2 linked regions of the Caenorhabditis elegans genome follow. The protein of the gene in region 1 purifies or fractionates together with the protein of each later gene. This does not show direct contact. Each region holds a gene or a part of one and is shown on either strand. Other genes may lie near its edges.

Region 1 (3,931 bases):
TTGTTTCAGGTCAGTATGGATGCGTGTAGCAGATATTTCGAATTTTCAAACTTTTGTCGATTGCTGTGCTGCATGGACATCTTATATTACAAAATATTACACCTTGAAGGAAGTCACAAAGATTCTGGAATTGGTTTTGGTTCGGCTCAGAATTGATGATCAAACTAAGGTTAGTTTCGGTTTTTTAATAGATTTTACAACAAAAAACCCGAAAATGTATTTACACCGATATAAAAATGTTTACCAAAATATTAAAATTTTCAGAAGCCAGAAAACACGGCTCTTCTCATCAATCTAATTGCCGCCTTCCTGGAACATAATGCAAATAAATCTGATTGTTTGGACATTGTCACGTCAAATAGTTTCATCAAAATAGTAGATCTAATCGGTTATGATATTCAATCAACATCAGACTGTTCTCGACGAATTTTGGAAATTTTCTCTAAAACCTTCACACGCCACACGATTTCCGATATATCTGCCTGTCAATTCATTATTGAGAAATGTCGAACTTTGTGCAAAGCGTATAGACTGGAAGAATCAGAAGAAGTCAAAGCTGCGGAGCAACTTGTTTGCTCTTCACTTTCTCTGATTGATTTCCAAGCATTTACAAATTTGGATCAATGCATTGAATTAATAGTCAGATGTCGAGAAGACATGGGATTACGGCAGAATAGTTTAATTGTTAGTTTTGAATTAGAAACAATTTGAAAAAAAAAACTTAAATATTTACAGCACATCATTGAAACTTTGTTCAATTTCACACAGTTCATCCATCGTACTCAAAAGTCTGGAAAGCGAAAAGCGGATTTTATGAGAGTGTGCATCACAAATCTATCACTTACAATCCCAGCTGTCCGAGATCCGTCCCGACGCGTCAAGATGACTGTGCAAAACATTCAAATGTGCCTTCTTGCCAATTTTCTTCCTCAAGTATTTTTCCAACAAGCTTGCCAAAATATAAATAAAACATAAACCTTTTAGATGGAAATGTCGAGTGTGCGTGTGATAGAATATCTCGACGAAATGAGCACAAACGGTCCTTCTGTGTGTGCTACAGTATCCCCTCTCATCAGTCAGTTCCTCGCAACACTCAGTTTCTGCCCAGAAGGATTTAATGAAGAAATGCCGTCTCTTTCGCATTTTTCGAAAATACTTGCAATTGTTGAAAGGTGAATTTATTGAGATTTGTGAACAATAATTTAAAAATGTTTCAGAAATCACGAAGAATGGTCAAAAGAGTATAAAGGAGTTCCACTGGCAGAGATTTATATCAATATGCTCCGTTACCTGTGTACATGCCGAAAAGTTGATCCACTTCGAGCAGATAGCAGTCAAAAATTGCATTTCGGCGATGATGATCATTTGTGAGTCTTTAAAAAATTTTTGAAAAATTCAAGAAAAACAATTGACAACTTTGAAATTTAAATAATCTAAAAATATATTTTCCAGAATTCGAGTGGATTGCAACATTTCTGACGTCATCACAAAACTATTCTCACTCGCCAATGACCCAACCATTGCAGTAATTACACTGGAAAATGTTGTCATGTTATTTGAAATTCATGAAGAGGTATTCACTGAACCGTTAACTATCTTAACTACCCTCAAATTTTCAGATGCGCTCCACGATCCGAGGTCTTCTGAAACGATCAGTAGGCTCGCCTGCTCATTTGCAAAAACGCCTTGACGCAATCATTCAGGATCTCCGGAATGAAGCCAGTCACGATGAAACTGTCCGAGATATTCTTCAGAGATTATCACTTTTATAATTTGTCAGTGCCTATTAACTTATTATTGTCTAACTTATTTTGTCTAAAATTACGGGAAAATAAAAATAACATCAGTTGTTAATATGTGATATTTTAATTGTTTTAAATAGCAGTTAACTAGTTATAAATATTTAAAAAAAAAGTTCAATTTTCTTATATTTACGTTTATTTGGTATATTTTTAATTGGATCAGTTCCATTTATTATTTTCTTTTACCACTTTTTCCCCTGTAACTATAACTCAATTCCAGATAAATGTCAGATATAAGCGACGATGATATTTTTGGAGGCTTCGATAATAGAATGGACACGGAGCCCATACAAATTGATTCCGACGATTCATTCGATGCGGGAGCGCCGACGTCATCACACACGATGGATAGAAAATCGATAATTGAGAAATATCAAAAGTTGAAAGAAGAATCGAAAAAATTAGATGATTTAGCTGTTGAAGTGGGTTTTCAGCACAGTTTCATATTACGAAGATGCGAAAAAATTCATTTTTGGTATCTCCCCTGGTCACGACAATTTTATTTTCAATGCGAAAAGGCGTGCGCCTTTAAAGAGCACTGTAATTTTAAACTTTTGTTTCTGCAGCAACGACAATTTGAAAGTACAGTAACCTGTAAAGGCGCAACCCCTTTTTAAAAATGTTTGAAAATTTTTCGTGTCGAGACCGAGTACCGTCCTTTTGACGCAACATTTCGCTTCATAGTAATTATATAATATTGTAGCTCTAATAACTCCTATAAACAATGGTGTTTTTAGGTGCGAAGCCTCTTCATGATTTGCAAGCAAATGGAGGAATGTTATACAAAACGAATCGACAGAATTGTGGCAACCTATGGGGAAATTCGATATCTACATGATGGCACAATTCTACTTCTCGTAACCATTCACAATATCACAAATCAGCCGATGATTGATTGGGTTATTTCAATTAATCCCACGTCCATCTTCCCGAATAGCTCATCTTCGTGCTGTCAAACAATCAATGTCGGAAGCCTTCTTCCTGGTATTCGGAAAACATTCCAATGCCAGTTGACATGCAAGGATCCTCCTGTCCTTCTACAATTGTCTCTTCTAAGAACTTATCAACTTGGAGGAATTGTGAAATGCTTCAAAGTGAAGCTGGATCCTATTCTCGTAACAGCTTGGAATCAAGCACAGAGAGTAGAGCGGAAGAATATGGAAACGGTAGGATACAAATATTAGATAGATGATCAAATTCGCAGTTTTCAGAGTTTCACTTCAACAATTCGGCTTCCAAATTCTCTTATCAATCTTCTCTCTGGCAGTCCAGATACTGTGATCTCTGTGCCTCAAGTATTCAAATCAATTCTAAACGTTCCAAATGTACAAGAAGATCACATTGTAATGTGCATACCATCTACGTCTTCTGATAACATATTGGTGAAGGCAAGCTGTGCCAAGGATGGAACATCCTATCACACATTGACAATCGGAACTGAAAGCTCACGGAGTCTCACTTTTCTCGCCGAGCAACTTCGACTTCATCTCATCGTTGAAATGTCAAAATTGAAATCACGACCAGCTAAAGGAATATTGATACTCACGGAAATGGATGCACTTTCCGTTGAAGAACTATTCCAGACAATGCTTGCGGCATTCAACTGAACTCCTAAATTCTCAAAAACTTTTTTTTTCGGGTTTTACTACAAAAGAATACATAAAAATTATATTGGTATGTTGGTTCTAATTTTGTCAATTTCAAAACTACTGGTTCATTGCCAGATTCTACCTCTAACTTATTGCCGTTTGTTTGAATTTGTTTGTTCTTCGTTTATGTCTGAATTTCCAATAATCTATTTTAAGATTAACTTTAATTTATCCATTACAGCAAAATGAGCAGCGCTTTCGTCGTTGGAGCAACCGGAGCTGTTGGTTCTGAGCTCGTCAAGCTGCTTGCCGAGTCTACAAAGTTTTCAAAAGTGGTTGTTCTCGCTAGAAGACCAGTCGACGGAGCCACTGGAGACAAGCTGATTCAAAAAACTGTCGACTTTGATAAGCTTGAAGAGAACGCCGAGGATATTCAAGGAGTTGACGTGGCATTCTGTGCTTTGGGAACTACACGTGGAAAGTCCGGTGCTGATGGATTCTACAAGGTCGATCACGATTATGTGATGAGCGCGGCAAAGA
Region 2 (3,931 bases), on another chromosome or scaffold:
GATGGTGCAGTAATTATATATTCTTCCCGTGCCTTATGAATGCAATATTATACATTATCTCACTAGTTATGTATTGCATTTACAAAACTTTGAGTGTTCTGTTCTGATAAAGCCTAAGATTACAAGTGAAGAAATTTTGATACGAGTGAAGTTAACTACAATCATTCAAAAAAAAACCAGTATCATTCTGCTTTATTAAAGTTTACTTTTTTTTACAAAACAATTGCTTTTCAATGTATATCGAAATGATTTTTTCTTATGGCTTTGAATTATCAATGTCTATTCAATTAGACCAAGATTTCATTACCGTATCTAGTTATATTTCAAATTATAGACTTTATCTCGTAAAGTTTCTTCAAGTAAGAAAGGATGTGTTGCTTTTTTTTGCATTATATTGTTCTCAGTAATTATTTTTTCATTAATACAACTGAAGCAGTAAAATTTTTTTGGCTGATGAAATTTTCAATACTCTCCATAATATCGAATTGTTTGAATTGCAAATGCATTAGTGAAGGATCGCTTGGTCCATGCGATAAACGACCGGAGAAGTAGATGACCAGGAACGTCATGAGATTCCGAAAATTTGAACTTGAAATCCTTGCCACGTGCATCTACGTGTCCAAAGCGGCGAAGCTGAAAACAGCGTTCAAAAATAACATGGGAGATGACGCAAACTACCACAAATGAGCCCAACTGTCTTTCAGAAAGTTCCGAATAGTAACGGTCAAACCAAGCTGGAAAATTATAAAAATTTTTAAACCTCTGTTCATAATAGATGACCGAGCTTTCTTTTTTTTCTCGCATCTCAAAAAAAAGAACAAATAATTTATTCGTGTTACAAGCTTCAAAGCTCGTATTTTTCGCATTGTTTCCAGGAGCCATTTTTCAACTTAACAAACTTCCACATACATTCCGAATCGAATTTAGCAGAAAAGTATTTTTCAAATTCTGTCATATTTCTTTTCCGGACAGCAGACTGTATTTTCATAAGCATTGTGTCAATTGCTCGGTCTACCGTGATATTTCTTGCAACATAAGCCGTCTATAAAATAACTGGAAAATTTAATAATCGTTTTTTCAAACTCACAGTTTTTTCGATACTTTGGAAAAGAACAATGAAAAACAAGATGGTAAAACCGAATAGACAACCAAACTTCATTGATGTTGAATGAAAAGTTTTAGTCAGAAAACTGTCGGTTTTAGGTGCAGCTTTGATTGAGGCGAACAAAACAAAATTCAAAGGTTTTATTGATATGATAATTTTATTTGTCCGCGATCAGCTAAAGATGTAAATAGTTTTTTCTTGACAATTGACGTAGAAGAAGAGAAAAATATGAAGAAACTGAAAGATGCGAACAAATACTTTAATAATTCTGGGCAAAACTTGGAAATTTTATGAAACTTTAAAAAAATAATATTTGTGCATTGATACCTTTCGCTGAAACACTAGTGTTTGAAAAAATCAGATAAAAGTTTGGCAAATTATATTCTCATGCTCGTCTGTTTTTTTCAAAATGTAATTTTGAAAGTAAATCTTGGGGAACAAAACATTATCCTTTTCAGCTGGTACAGTTTTTTGTAGGAATTACAGTTTTCTTCTCCTGAAAACTAAAACGATATTAAAAATTTTATAAACACTTTTTTCGAGTACAAATAGGTTTTAGTTACATGTTTGATAAACTTTCATAAATTAACTCGCGAAATCATAATGTTGTTTGTTTGAAATCTAGGCCAATACCAAAACCAAAATTGGCATGAGACAAGTTTTCAATTAGAACACTTTTTTCTATACTATCATCAAATGTTCCTCAAGTTTTAATGCCCGTTAGGTTGCACTTTTATTTTGTCTTTGCCTCCTCACAAGTTTTTCTTGTTAATGAGTAGTTGTGAACATACTCATCAAGTATCGGTTGCCATGGAAAAATAACTCACACATTTCAGAGTCTTTCTCGAGATACAACTTTCATTTTATTTATTTTCTACCAAATGAACAAGCTTATCACTGTCATCCGAGATTTCTCATATAGTGTTTATAATTGGTGCTACGAAACTGTAATAGGGTAATTTTCATTTTCATGATCTTCTGAAACGTTACAAAAAAAAGTTTCTTTAATTTTCTTACTGTAGCAGGTTCCAAAAAACTTTAAAAAATTTAAGTAATAAACTGAATAGTTTTTCTATTAACAGGTATGTCCATTATACTTGATAGTATGAATGAAAGTTTGTAATATTTTTCTCGTCAGTATACTCCATCAAGTGTAGTTGTCGCTACTGCGAACGAGTTTTTTAAAATTTTAAAAGAACTGCCTTATCGATAAAGTCATAAAATAATTATATTTTTGAGGAGTTTAATAAACAAAACGTTTTTGTTCCCTTTGAAAGTCATTTAATATTTCAGGGAAAATACTCGGAAGTACAAGATGACATGGAAAGTTCCAAAGGAATCTTTGAAAATTATTGTTAACAAGAATGCAGATGCGGTAATAAAATTCAAATTACCAGTAAATGCGTCTTTAAATTTAGAGAATGCAACGTGAACTTGAAAATAGAACAGCAAAAGATGAAGCAAATGCTTTAACATCACGACGAAGGGTATTTGGCTCATATGCTCTAATTGGCACCCAAAGAGCAGAGTTTATTCAGTTTCGACAAATTAAACATATCGATATCACTAATGCTTCTTTAGACTTTTTGTATAACTTAAAGCAACTGAAACATGACAATCTGGCAAACTTCTATGGTATTCAATTGAATGATGATCTCAACACAATGACAATTTTACACGCATTAGTGGAACGAGGAACACTGGAGGTACAAGACTTACATTTCTCAGTAATTAGAAAATCAGGCTAATTCAAGGAATTTTGTTTGGATCGAGATTTCGGTATGGATGAAACGTTCAAATCCGCATTTATGAGAGATATTTTGAAGGTAACATTTTGCGTTATTCATTAGACTCCATGAACAACTGAAGATTAAAAAAAATAATTCTATAATAAAAATCACAAATCGATTGTTAATTCAAGGGTCTTCAATATCTTCACCTATCTCCTGTTGCGTATCACGGTCATCTTCACGCAGCCACTTGCCTAATAGATATAAATTGGGTACTGAAAATTGCATTATATGGGGTCACAAACTTTGTGTGTGATAACTTCGACGCAGAAAATATAACGATGCCAGATAGAAGTGACTATACTAGTGAGTAATTCAAAACAATGTGCAAAAAAGCCAGACAACAATTTCTAAAATAGCTGATTGCGGGAAAAATTGGAAGCTGACAATAGCCGGAAATCTACAATTATCAATTTCTACACCTATTTGACTTGAATTTTCTTGAAAAATTTGTATCTTTCAATCAGAAACTGTTTTACCTGTTCACGCCGTTACTTCAACCACAACATTTACACTGAAAAACAAAGTATATTTTTATTTTTTGAAAAATAATGTTTAAAAGTTCCGAAAAACAACAATTTTGGCAATTTCCGAATTTGCCGATGACCGAAAATTTTTGGTTGCCACCTACCCCAAGAATATATGCCTTCTTTTCTTATTTTCAGTATCTTACGCGCAGTATGTGTGTTTTCCGCCGGAGCATATTCGAGAATATGATGCTACTGGAAAACTGCCAACCAGATTTGTAAGAGGCAGTAAACAAGGCGATATTTATTGCGTTGGAATGATTTTTTATATGATGATCGAACGTGAAGATCCATATCGACTGATTCACTCAGTTGAGCGACCGGGTTCTGGTAAGTTAGTTGAGAAGTTGCAATGGGTCAAAATGAGTCGACTCGCAAACAAATGAAGACCAAATCAAATGAAACTCAAATGAGGACCGTTAAATATGACAAACTAGGATGTTCTTTGACTTGCCGCAATATAACCTCCTTGCTAATATGCCTAACTCAAAGAGCTTTGTCACCTTTAT

Evidence for each region.
Region 2: the proteins of C33F10.4 (region 1) and gcy-27 fractionate together in Caenorhabditis elegans (co-fractionation; one large-scale study listed by BioGRID). This does not show direct contact.

What each region holds. Positions count from the first base shown.
Region 1 is NC_003280.10:4,793,739-4,797,669, forward strand, and holds C33F10.4 (Alpha_adaptinC2 domain-containing protein), read left to right. Parts: upstream 1-2,022; 5' UTR 2,023-2,026; coding exon 2,027-2,224; intron 2,225-2,539; coding exon 2,540-2,968; intron 2,969-3,013; coding exon 3,014-3,409; 3' UTR 3,410-3,479; downstream 3,480-3,931. Other genes in the region: F26G1.1 (VPS35 endosomal protein sorting factor-like), read left to right, coding at 10-169, 265-684, 736-933, 985-1,172, 1,218-1,367, 1,453-1,573, 1,620-1,772; htip-2 (Protein HTATIP2), read left to right, coding at 3,637-3,931.
Region 2 is NC_003282.8:17,434,687-17,438,617, reverse strand, and holds the start of gcy-27 (Receptor-type guanylate cyclase gcy-27), read left to right. Parts: upstream 1-1,986; coding exon 1,987-2,060; intron 2,061-2,398; coding exon 2,399-2,480; intron 2,481-2,523; coding exon 2,524-2,811; intron 2,812-2,859; coding exon 2,860-2,931; intron 2,932-3,026; coding exon 3,027-3,201; intron 3,202-3,560; coding exon 3,561-3,752; intron 3,753-3,931. Other genes in the region: C06A12.8 (RxLR effector protein), read right to left, coding at 463-633, 679-734, 910-1,042, 1,088-1,159. UniProt on the Caenorhabditis elegans protein: Guanylate cyclase involved in the production of the second messenger cGMP. May be involved in sensitivity to quinine by regulating egl-4 activity through the production of cGMP.